4 separate regions of the Mus musculus genome follow, and regions 2, 3 and 4 are each reported to be linked to region 1. Evidence: microRNA targets listed by miRTarBase, many of them from high-throughput screens and not tested one by one. Region 1 holds a microRNA gene; each other region holds the end of a gene's coding sequence.

Region 1 (3,180 bases):
CCTATAATCCCAGCACCCAGAGCCTGAGGCAGGTGAACCAAGAGATCTGGGCTACTCTGGAATAGACAGCAAGTTCCAGGCTGGACTAAGCTACTTAGTTAGACCTCCCTCATCTGAATAAAAAATATACATGATATAAAGACTACTATTTTTAACATGAAAGAGATTCACTTTTCTTTTGGGATCACATGTTGCCCAGGCCAGCTTGCAAATGTGTGTAGAAAAGTATGACCTATGGAGGTGGGTATAGGAGAATCAGCTTGAGGGACAGAGCTACACAGTAAGACAGTAAGCTCCTGTCTTCAAATGGGAGTAGTGATGGTAGTTGACAAGAAGTCACTTAGTCTACTGGTCTTCGGGCTGAAGGGATGAGGAGAGGGAACAACACAATAGGCTCCATATCCACTCTTCCTGTGAGCGAGTGACTCCTCTCCACGTAGGCCCATGTGTTTAGGCATATCTAGGGCCATGGGAGGGGGAATAGTTTGAGAAATCTCATCTATCAGACCCTGCACTGAGTCATTCATACAGAATAGAAAACAAGGAACAATAGACCTAGGTCATTCTTTTGAACAGCAGTTGGTGAGTCTATAATAGTCAAGGATCTTAGTGTGTTTATTAGTCTCCTAAGAGAGTAGCACCTCTGTTCATTTTGTTTCCTGCTACATCCTCTATGACTAACAGAGCTGTATCAAATAGTGCATACCTGAATATTTGTGAAAGGAAGGAAAAGGAACAGGGGTGTGGACATATAGGGGCTCTGTCCTTTAAAGTGCAGGCGAAGTGCCACCCTTTGGATTCCTTGGACAGGACTTACTATTGAAAACAGCACTTGTGCTGAGGATTAATGTTCCTGATGAATCAGGTCAGATAATCCTCTCTGTGGGCACAAGTCTGTGAATCCTCTCCTCTGTATACACTGCATTTATATGGGACTGTGTTAAAATATGGAAGAATCCAAGTGGACAGTGTACATGAAGTCCCAGTCTACAGTCCACTCATGCAGGCATAATGGATGTGACACAGCTCACTCTCCCTGGACCATTTGCTCCCTGAACCACATGTGGTTCATACTCCTGTGGACCAAATCCCTAGTTGAGTACCTGCCATACTGAATAAATAGACAGGAAACAGTGGAAGGAGGCGTAAAGGTCCTACATGAAGATAACTCAATGTCTGAACCCTTGCCCAGGTATATTGCATTCGCAAAGCACACTCATCCAAGTAGCAAGTACTAGAAAGGCACAGCCTGCACCTATGCCCTTGGCATGTGGGTTCAACAAGAAGGCTTACTGTTCTTGCCCTGTGCATTCCTCCAAGAGTTGAACTAAAGAAGAATTTCTCTTCCAGGTGTCGGTATGAGAACTAGAATGAAAAGCTGCGCACTTATGTCAATACACAGTTTACTATGTGCCCCACTTGTTCTTGATACCTGTTAGGGTCATAAGTGGAAATAAAGTTCTACCTATAAAATCTAGGTGGGAAGAGGCCAAATTTGTCACATTTACTCTCCCATGCACCATGCCCGTTGTATTTGTAGAAGGAAAGAAGGTGGGGGGAGGCATAAAAGAAGTATGCAAGCAGCAAACAGATGAGATATGATGCACAGACCTCCTGTCCTTCTCCATGCAGATCAGGCTCACCTTCCCCAAATCCTTGCCCGGGTGCATTGCATACAAATAGCATTTTCACCCAGGGACAAAGGATTAGAGAGGATGAGCAGAGCAGAAGGCCCAGGCACCTGTACCATGTTTGTGTGGTTCTGTATATAATATTTAATTTTCCTTGTCCTGATTCAGCCAAGCATCACCACCTATACCCAAGCTTGACATCCCTGATTTATATATGTATCTGCCCCCTTCCCACCATGAGCATCCTCTCTCAGAGAAAACTTCTACGTATACAAAATGGTATCTCTCCCAGATCATACTTGAGAATTTGTGGGGGCCTGATTTATGTTTGGAAGGTAGCAAGAAGGCTGGGATCTGAGAATGCATATACATACTGAAAGAGGGCACAGTGGAGGAGGATACTCCATTCCTTTCCAATGCCTTTATACAATTCAAGCTTTGTGGAACAGGGGTTATCACTGGATGTAACAAACGGGTTGCCTGAGTAGCAGCACCTAATGTGTGCTCCTCATCACATGATCTGACACTTAGCAAACTGGGAATCAAGAAAGCTCATGCTGAGAATAGAAGCATGTCTACCAAACATGATAAAGACCATTTTGCTGTTAGAAAATGTGTAGAACCAAGTCTGACAGCTAAAACCAAAATCAAATGGTGGCCAGGAGGAGGGAAGGTGGCAGGTGAGATGTGCAAGTATGGGCCATTCTACACGCAGACAAGGCTCAGCCTCTTTGAATCCTTGAACAGGTGTGTTGCACTGAAGCAGCATTCACACCTAGGTTCCAAGGATTCGAGAGGGGGAGCAAGCAAGAAGGCTCAGGAACCTGCCCTTCCTGTGTGTGGTCAATATGCTTGTGTGCAACACACTAAAAGAGAACGAGAGATGCGCTCTGTCCTTTACAAACACAAAGGTCTGGCTCTCAGAATCCTTGCTGAAGAACACTCTCACCCAGGTAGCAAGGATCAGAGAACTGAAGCAGGGCAAAAGGCTCACAGCAAATGAACGCATGGGCTCACCTTTGACACAAGGTGCTTATCTGTGATGAGAAAGAAGACAATGTTCTTGAGCTTCACATTAAGTATGTCTAGGCACCTGAGTTCAACTCCCAGCCTCCACATAAAAGAGCCAAGCGTGAGGACTCAAAGAAAGCTAGATCCCTTGGCCTAACTGGTGAGTGCCAAGTCCCTATTAGAGACTGTTTCAAAAAACAGGGTAGATGTCCCCAAAGGGGAAGCACCTCAGGTTGACCTCTGCACCCTCCACACACATACACAGAAAGAGAGAGAGAGAGAGAGAGAGAGAGAGAGACAGAGTGACAGACAGACACAGAGACAAAGAGAGACAGAGACAGAGAGACAGACAGACAGACAGACAGACAGAGACAGAGAAACCTGTCTAAATATATACATTCATATTTTGTTCTGAGATTATAAAAATATAAAGCCAGAGATACAAAATACTGAAAGAAAAAAAGACAGAGAGACAGAGAGAAGAGGCCATAAGCTCACAAGATGGCAGTAGAGATTGGCATCCTTTAACACACATCAG
Region 2 (3,180 bases), not on the chromosome of region 1:
TGAGTCATTTTGATTCACCATATAATGATCAGTTACTTTTCAGAGTTTACATAGATTTGTCTTGCAGTGTTCATTCATTTAAAAGTACAATGGTACATTATTATGATTAATTAGTACAATTAATTTTTATTACTTGATTTATGATGCAGTTGGAGAGAATTAGGTATTGGATAAAGGATTGCATATTTAAACTTTCCTCATTGAAAGAATTTCTGACTGTGGATAGAATTAAGTGAACAAAATATGTGATAGACACTTGGAATCACCAAATCCAACCATGGCAGGAAGCCCACAGATCTGGAGAAGGCCACCTATGTGTTTTTCTGGGAATTACCAATTTGAAAAAGTACACACTGTGAACAAGAACTAGAAGTCAGAAGTGTCACCCAGGGTGTGTGAGGGCCTAACTTTTCCCTGTATCCTTCTGGGGAAGCAGGTGGATGGTCAGCTGACCTCTTATTCCATTTACATTTCTACAGTAATCAGGGGATGTACAGCGTGCCTGATGTTCCTAAATCCAATCCTTCTGAGGGCTTTACTCAACAGCACCTTCTGCATTTCCCCAGAGATTCTAGAGGCAACCTGGCGGAAGGAGAGCTAAAGGTGTCCTTTTTGTTTTTCTTAATACATTTTATAAGAATATTAAGGAAGCTTGCAATAGAGAATCAAGGTTGTAGGTAATAAGATGTGAATATTGGATTTTGTTTTTAAAAGAGGGAGACAATCTTGCTATATACATAGAGAACATTTTTCTAAATGTTTTTGGTTAGCAATGCCCAGTTGAATGCATCCAACACATTTCCAGGAAGCTGGATCCTTCCTTCTAAGCAGACACTAGGGAGAACCTCAGGCTTGAGAAGGAAGAATTTTGCCCCTCAAGTAGCAATTCTTGCTAGCACATTTTCATAAAATTAAAAAAAAAATACATGCATGTACAAACAAGGGCAAGACTACATCTGCTACAGCAACCTGTGATTGTAATAGATACTATTTCAAAATTTAAGAATGTCAGCGCCTTTTTTTCATATGCTATGGGGAAGGAGAATTGTGTTTGGCAAACTGAGTAGAGTCTCATTGACAATGTTAGAGTTATTTCTAGATACTAAGTGACTGGAAGGATTAATGAGAGTGGATACATGGAATAATTAATTACCCTTTAATGAGAGTGGATAAATGGAATAATAATTAATTACCCTTTACTTGGCAAGGATCTTCTTTCTCCTCTCTCCCTTCTTTTCACTAGTCTTTATAGTCATAAGCTCAAATGCAGAAGTTAAATAAAACTGCAAATCAAATGTCTCCTGCCGTGTGACATGCTGGGGAGACTGAGTCCTTAGCTTGTCACTAATTAGTTGCACAGCTTCACCAATAAGAACTTGGATATTGTGGTGGCATCCCAGTGACAGATGAATGATCCTTGGAGCTACATTGTTAGTGGGTTATTTACAGAATTCCTTGCATCCTAGCAATTCAAGGGTTCTGATGTTGCACCCTCCTGGAAACCCAGAACAAAAATCTGAAGGTCTACTTTTTAATCTTCATACCACCCCTTTGAGGTAGGTAGATGACATATTGCCCCCATTTTGCAGATGAGGAAAACTGAGGCACCGAGAGGTGGAGTGATTTGACTGAGGTCACAGGGTGGTGAGTTTGTGTGACCCAGGTTGCAAATACTTACTTCTTCAGTGATTAAAAAGAAACCAGGACTCCCAAATCCCTAGCCTCTTGCTTTTCCCACTCCATAGCTTCCTCTCTGGACTTGACAAGTAAGTGCGTCTTAATGGACTCTATATCTTAAGTTCTTCTTGGAAGGCATAATTGGGGAGGCCTTTGCATCTCCCAAGAGGAAGGATTTTTTTTTTCAGTTCCCTTCCTCGTTTTGTCATCTTAGGCTCCAGGCTTTCGTTTGTTGTTTTTGCTTTGCTTTCTCCTTTTACTGTGTTGACTAGATTCTTTCATATAACAAACTACAAAATAGCACCATTGTACTAAAAAACAACAACAACAGAGTTTTACATACTGTTTGATATTTCCTGTATTATTGATATACTAACTTTACATAGTGCTCTATATGGAAAAAAATAAAAAAGAGAGAAACTGCTATACTTAGGTTACATACTAACTTATCATTTGAAGAAACCATTGAGAGTTTAAGAGACGTTCTATGCTTCAAACACACACCTAAAAATGATTGGCCTCAAAGTTGTAGTTATTGTTATTCTATTTTTTTTCTTGAAACACAATGTCAAAAAAAATAAAGCTTTGTGTCTAAAATAAATGCATTCAACTTATATTTGGTACAAATGCCACAGATGGAGTCAGGTACGTTAAAACTTGGTAGGCCACTTGACTACTTATTTGCTATTGCTCTTAAGGAGGCCAAATTCAACAAATACAAGTGTTAGGAAAGGGTGTGTCTAATGCAGCTAGACAAGATGATTAGACTCTGTAAAACAAGCAGCTTGAGCTACGTGGGAAGAGGTGAAGATAAGGGAACCATTCATAAACCACCTCTACACAGTTGCTAAATGAATGGCTTCAGCAGCCAAAATTCAGAGAGAAACTTAGAGCAACTGGATCTCTACAACATCCATGCATTTTCGGCTCTTTAGAGGCAGGGACTAGGAGATATAGTTATATATATATTTTTTTTCTCTATAGAATGTTATTGATAAAGGACCAACAGCAATCTACCCACGCCAGGACCACTTTTGCAAGGTGCAAAGCTTTTTAAACAAACACTCCTAAAGACGATGTTGGAATGTTTACTTGTATATTTCATTGGGGGAAATGCCCATCTTTGTAATGTTATTGGACTTATTATTGTTATTTGGTAGGTGTTTCGATGTTTTGCAGGTTGCTCAAGCAGCAAAGGATCCTGCGGTGATGTGGCATTTTCTGCTCCGTGGGAGGCTCCTCCTACATTCTGTAGGTCTTGTTTCCTGCACTTCCTCTACTTGTGTTCTTCAAATGTACTTCCTGCAAATAAGAAAGATAAGCGGCCATTAAGTTGTTGTGGTTTTCTATATCCATTTATGTCTTTAAGCGATTCATTTATCCCTTATGTTTTTTAGCCAGTGTGTGATAGATAATTAACTTGATACTCATATGCCATGACTGAACAGAGTAGTATTTCAATACCTTTGCAGGTATTGAATCATTATTTCTTTATTATGCTAG
Region 3 (3,180 bases), not on the chromosome of region 1:
TCTTTTGATGGAGAAATCTCTTTAGAGCTGGGAAGGGATGCAGCCAGAGCATCTGAATACACGTTGGAGCGTCTGCCATGTAAGCCGCACAGCTTGTAAACTTACGTCTGAGTGGTCAACAGGACAGATATCAGAAAAGGAATATACTCCATCACTTACTGTTTATGAAAGAAATAATACTGATTAGGGCCTGGGATCCTGGCAGGGGGAGAAAGACCAAACTGGCTCTGTGTTACCTGACATAAAGACATCAGAGAGCTGGAACATCAGGAGTCAACTGTGAGGAGTGTGTGCCGCCACTCAGCTCACTACCAGAGAAAGAAGCTGACAATTCACAGGGCTCTGGATACACAGTACCACTGATTTTATTTGTACAAGAAATGACTGGTCACTGAACTTTTCTATATATTCCTAATCGTTACTGCTGTTACCTCAGAAACCAGTGAAATCTATCCCCAGCTTTAAAGTACAAAATAGTAAGGGAAAAAAATCTAAATAAAAATAATGCAACCTTTAATCTGCCAGGGTCTCTAAATTGTTACCACTGATTATTATAAAGTATACAATTTATTTATAGTTTTGTTTTTACTTTAAATAAACATTTGCTCTTTAGTTTTGGGGCAAGGGACATGCTTGGCAAAACACAAAAAGCAACAGAACCTACAACATTGAGTGAGCTTTTTTGGGGTGGGGGATGGGGGCAAGGTGTTGTTAAAAATCTCAATCGAGAAAGGAGGAAAAAAATGGAACTTTGTCAGAATAAAAATGGAAGAAACTTTGTAAACGGAAGCTGGTGAGTTAATCAGTAGGATTTTAGCAGTGCTGTAACTTTAGTGAGTAAGGGTTTGATATGCAGGAGGAGCTAATGACAAGCACGAGCTAAGGGGCAGTAGCCAAGTTTTAAAACAATGTAAGTGTTACTGCTGTTTCCCTAGTCACCGGTTTCTTAGTCTAAAGTTCATCTGACAAGGGCACACGTTCATGGCCCTCCTACGTGGGACTTTTATCTAGATCTGAAGGGTGGGGCCATTTATTTACCTTTTCCTGGTATTTATATTAATTTTACTGAATAATGGCTGTTTCTCTACCCTGACCCATGCTGGAGAGAAAATCAAGGGTCTCAAGAATGCTGGGCAGTCACTACTACCAACGATCTAGATTCCCAGTGACAAGCTGATGAGTACCAGATATGAAACCAACCATTTTCAAGACAGTCAAGCGCTGTATGTTTTTAGGCTTCTCTAGAGAATTTATGAAGAAAGGGGGTGAGATAGAGAATAAAGTAGGTATTTATATCCTGAATTTTCTAAGAAATATAATTTAAAAAGTACAACCAGGTTTAGAAGCCCCGAATTTAAAAGCAGGCCATGGTAGGGGTGTCGTAAAATTCAACATCACCTTTTAATACAGCTGGGTTTAAAAATAGCCACCAAGATCTTTTGTGTCGATGAATATAAAGGATTTGTTCTAGATGCTCAGAAATACAGTCCCCACAAAAGACTTTTAATTTGATCAAATTCTGGCTGAAGAAGGTGAGACCAGAAGGGGAAATGTCTAATAAAGTGTGAGGGGCCTGAAACAGGCCTGTCTTTCCACTGGTAAAGATTACAATTCTACATGCAGAAGCACGTGGCAAACCGTCATTTTTGTGACTGGTATTTGGGTGACTGTATCCTGCACCTGTTCCTAGAGAAACAACAGTCAGAGCCTTTTCTCTGGATTTCCACCACTGGGATGCAAGGGGGATGCCTGCCTGGTCATGACAGTGATGCTTGGGACTCTAGAGCAGCAACTTAAAATTTAGCAATAAAACTTTGGTTTAAAGTTAAAACAAATGAGGGGAAAAAAATCAACTAGTTGTTTCCTGAAAGAGGTGTGTGGGGTTGACCCTCCGCAGTGCCAGTGAGCCTTAGTTCCTCCTGCCTCCCTTCACAGGAGTAGCATTCATTTATGGTTAAGTTTCATAAATAATGAGAAACTGTATGTAACGAATACAGCATATTCCCCACCCACCCGAAGCCCTCCCCAGATGAGAAAAGTCACATCGAATTAAAAGTAGCTTTGTGGAGGAGGTGCTGCTCCAAGCTGCACTTTCCCTGCAAGTGCTGCCAGTGTCTCTGCACTGGCTATGAAGGAAGGGAAAAACTCTCCATAGAAACTGACAGAAAATTTAAAAACCGGTGTCCGGTTTCAGACAGTCAAAACCGGCCGGCGAAGCTGAGCTCTCTGGGCTGTGCATCAGACGTTCCTTCCAAAGCTTCTCTTCATCCTGATGGGCTTCTGTATCCTTGTGATTGTAAACAATCCGTAAGATAGTAGGTGTTTGTTCCTTAAAACATCTTCTGATTGGCAAAATGAAGTATTTGTTTTAAAAATAGAAAATGAAGATTAAACCAGAAGAAAAGAAAAGAAACACAGTGAGCTTGCTCGGAGTCCATAGGACCCGATCTGAAGAGCCCGGGAACGTGTTCTGTTTTCTCCTGTTCTCAGCTGGAAAAAGGTGCTGGAGGTTGCGTTGGTCGAGGAAAGGATTGTAGAGTAGAAAACCAAGGATGTTACTCTAGACTTCAGCGAATTCAAGTGTTAGCTTCGTCATCTGTGTCTTCTATCAATACCTTAGTGTCGCGAGCCTTGGATCTAGCGTGATCAGAGGAAATGAACATGTATGATCAGTCCCATGCAGTGCTGCTGGGTCCACTCTTCCCACTAGCAAGCACGCACACTACCCAGGAGCTATGTACTGCAAGTGGAGAGGTAGGAACAGCAGTAGGCTGAATTAAAGACGGAGCAGTACCCGGAAACAAGGATCTGAGTTTGAGCACTGGTACAGTGATAGCCAGGAGCCTCGGTCAAACTGTTAGCGCTGCTGATTTAGGAGGCTGTGCAGAGATTCTTGTACCGAATAAAAATGGGACTGGGTAACCCGACACTCGTTAGCCTCAACAGTGAAGGCAGTGTTTCTGACAGGAGATCTGTTACTCCCACTTGACAGATGGGGAGGCTGACATTCAGGAGGCTAAGGCTGTGCTAAGGCTGTATGAATCTATGACGTCAGAGCTGAGACTCAGGTCTCACCTTAGATTCCCTGCACTCTTTGTACCTTAAGCCTGTTCTTCTAACTGCCTTCCTCTGGCTGCCATCTAGTTTCCCAGCGTTTCCCTGTAAACCCCTGAAATGAAC
Region 4 (3,180 bases), not on the chromosome of region 1:
AGTGGGATGTGTAGGTTGCAGTCTGTGGCTACTTGGGAGCTGACAGCTTGTAGTGAACTTGGGATGAACGACAGCAATGTGTTGGTATCATATAGTTTGTACTTAGTACTTTCTTGCACTGGAGATTTTTACTATCCTCTGGCTTTGCATTTTTCACTGAAGGGTGTGTTTAACACAGGTACTTTGTAGGGTATAATAACTCACATAAGACAGCTTAACTTCATATTTGTTACTGCTTAAGTTTATGGCTTTCACTTTAGCCTCTGAATATAAGTGTTTTCTACTGTGAAAAGGATCAACTTTCTAGTTAGAGAATTTAGAACCAAATGATCACCCGAGTTTCTCTTGCTGATGCATGAGATCATGCAAATTTACATGGTTGGAATGTTCAGTATTTTGTACAAACAACTGTTTTGTAAATCCCTTCAAATTCCTTTAAAATAGAATAGTGTTAAAAATAAAAATACACCTACAAGTGATCATGATGTATGAAGGCATACTATAAACTATAATCTTAAAATTAATGATGAATATGACAACTATTTTTATAGTGGATATAATTTATAAAATTGTTAATTTTTATTTCACTATGGTATCATAGCTATCAATTTAAGTATTTACTATGGTGTTGGAGTGGTGGCTGGTCTAAGTCACATAATAAAATGCTTATAGTTACTGAAAGAACATTTAATTTTTCTCTGGATAGTTCAGTGATTACTATGTTTTGAGATTCCTTTTACTTTTCCAAGTTCTATTTTACAAAGCAGGAACATCTACTGACTTAAAAAATTAAGTCATGCTTATGCCAAGGGTAAGTTTTCCCAATATTCTTGATATAATTTCCTTTTTAAAAATAAAAAAAATGTCATACAGAAAACACACTTTGGTCAGAAAGTACATCACACTAAAGGTCAAAGTTTTTAGTAATCTGAGAAATCAGATTTATGTAGTACTTAAAAAAATAAATGAAATCTAGTGAAACCTCAACTTTTCATTCATTGGAAATTTAGTTCAATATAGAAAATGAGAATTTACTTCTTTAAAATGGCATTATCTCTATTGGTTATCATTAAATATATGAATTCTTCCTCATCTATATCTTATTCAAAGGATTCCTGCTATAAATAATATAATTGAAGGATCATGAATTAATGTATACTCTAATATAAGATTTCTGTTGTGATTTAGAACAATAAATACCACACAGTGAAAAACTTATTACCAACTAACACAGCAGCAAAAGAAAGAAAAATGTATGTACATATCACCATGAGCAAGGTCTTTATAATAAATTACAGTACAGTCCCATCACAGTATTCTTCTATATAAAGTCACTACTGTGAAGACTTAAAGAAATTGTCTTGTATGTCTTAAATCTTGATCTAATAAAGTTTATACAATATCAAATAATATCAAAAGTCTAAAAAAACACAATGAGTTTTGATACCGTGTTTATAAATTATTGTTTTATATACTTTAAAAAACATAAGGTTAAAAGTGCAGCTTAAAAAAAAAGTTGAAATTGCTCTTCTCGATAATGGGTAGAAAAATGCACTGTTTCAAGCAGAAGCTATGTAAAGGCTAACACAGTTTCTCTGAGAATTTCTTTAAGCTTCCACCAACCATGGCCATGTCCAAGACAAACCAATACCAAGAGAACAAAGAAATCGTTTTGAAAGATGATAGGGAATAAGATCTGAGAAGCTCTGCATGGAGCCATAATTAAAGGTCTGCTCACAGGTGAGTTCTAGGACCCTGATTACTGTCACTGAATTGAGACCCAGTGGGGAAAACTTCAGAGGTTGCTACAAGTTTTTAATCTTTCTCAAAATTCTGTTCATGTGTATCTGGTAATAATATACCCTAGGATTCTTACTTTTTTAGTATAACTAAGATGAAACATGATTAAAGGTGATAAGTCCTACTTCCCATAGAAAAGCAGAACTAAAGATGCAGTTATTAAAGACAACAGTGTAGAAATCAGTCAGGAAGAAATGAAATATGACTGCATCTTAAACTGCCACTTATTACAGTACTAGCCGTATTACACTCATTTAGGAGCAAATGCATGGCCATGCTGAATTGAGTGACATATTATCCCCGTCTGCAGGAAACTGAAATGGTAAAACCACAGGCAAAGAAAACATAACAGAAAAAAGAAGGACAAAAGGAATATAAAGAAAAAACTTTTAAATTTACTGTGAGATCAAGTTGATGGGGCTGTGCAGACACGCACAGTGCCTGGTGTTCACAGCACCGGGCTGCTCTGCCTGACTTAACATGCATGACCTGCTCCTCAGCTGCTATTGCACTGGTGGTGTTTTACAGGTTAAGATACCAGCAACAGATGATGCCTTCTTTCCACTGAATACATTTAAGTTTCTTAGTTGGTTTCACATATATAGATTGCCTGAGATAATAAAATCATCAGCATTATGATAAGTTATGAAGGGCTTTCTAAATTTGATAGAACAAGATTGGATGCGGAGATAGAATGAGTGTTGGTGTAGGCTGCATACACACTTAACAATAATGCCTTTAGTCAGCAATTAAAAGTCGATGGATATGGATGCTTGTGCAGAATCGTCTCGCCCTCTGACATAAATTTCACAGGGAATCTCCTCCATCACTCTGTCCTCTAGAGCCTGTTCAGGGCACTCATGAGCTTGTTTGAAAGTGTAGCTGCTTTTTTTGAAGGTGCTATTAAATGTTTTCATTGGCTGTGGTTGTGCAAAATCATTTCGGAAGGGAAGTTCCATGGAACTGAGGTTGGTCCTGCTTTGTTTCACACTGGATGCTTGTGATCCACAGTGGTGGTCGTGAATGCACCGGGAGGCCGTGGAGGAGCGCCGCAACTTCTGGTAGTTGTCAAGTTCTTCTGACAAATCTGCCAGATCTGCAGAAATCTCTTTCTCTCTTAGTGAAAATAGTTCATAATGAGGAGGATCAAATACTTCCTGGAACCCAGTTTTATTAAATGCAGTTTTGCAAGCCATAACCTTTTTCCGGGGCTGTTTCACTTGTACTAAAATAGAAATAATGAGAAGGACCAAGACAATTCCTGATGTAATGCCAATAATTGTCCCATGAGTTTTAGTGATTTGTTCAAATAGTCCAGCTTTTTTCTTTTCTGTAAGAAAGAAATGTTGAGGTTTTTTTTTTTTTTTTTTTTTTTTTTCC

What was found. Region 1 holds the annotated microRNA mmu-miR-362-5p (AAUCCUUGGAACCUAGGUGUGAAU, at 2,399-2,422, opposite strand). A microRNA usually pairs through its seed, bases 2 to 8, with sites in the 3' UTR of a target mRNA and lowers its output. Matches are read on the target gene's strand: a 7mer-m8 pairs with bases 2 to 8, a 7mer-A1 pairs with bases 2 to 7 and ends in A, and an 8mer does both.
Region 2: miRTarBase lists Igf1 as a target of mmu-miR-362-5p. Seed matches in the 3' UTR shown: 7mer-m8 at 1,414-1,420 and 7mer-A1 at 418-424.
Region 3: the mRNA of Xpr1 is a reported target of mmu-miR-362-5p. Seed matches in the 3' UTR shown: 8mer at 2,284-2,291.
Region 4: the mRNA of Neto2 is a reported target of mmu-miR-362-5p. The part of its 3' UTR that is shown has no 7-base or 8-base seed match.

What each region holds. Positions count from the first base shown.
Region 1 is chrX:7,239,621-7,242,800 of GRCm38, forward strand. Mir362 (microRNA 362) reads right to left here and starts at 2,426; the gene lies at 2,362-2,426. All of the region lies in intron 2 of Clcn5 (chloride channel, voltage-sensitive 5), which reads right to left. It overlaps Mir501 (microRNA 501), which reads right to left and starts at 1,731; the gene lies at 1,623-1,731.
Region 2 is chr10:87,930,474-87,933,653 of GRCm38, reverse strand. Igf1 (insulin-like growth factor 1) reads right to left here. Exons shown (of 4, transcript NM_001111275.2): 4 at 1-2,979. The coding sequence ends at 2,920. Among named protein-coding and RNA genes, the nearest start is that of Igf1os, 69 kb to the right of the region's middle.
Region 3 is chr1:155,278,434-155,281,613 of GRCm38, forward strand. It overlaps Xpr1 (xenotropic and polytropic retrovirus receptor 1), which reads right to left. Exons shown (of 15, transcript NM_011273.2): 15 at 1-2,637. The coding sequence ends at 2,577. Among named protein-coding and RNA genes, the nearest start is that of BC034090, 35 kb to the left of the region's middle.
Region 4 is chr8:85,637,987-85,641,166 of GRCm38, forward strand. It overlaps Neto2 (neuropilin (NRP) and tolloid (TLL)-like 2), which reads right to left. Exons shown (of 9, transcript NM_001357288.1): 9 at 1-3,130. The coding sequence ends at 2,550. Among named protein-coding and RNA genes, the nearest start is that of Mir8109, 61 kb to the right of the region's middle.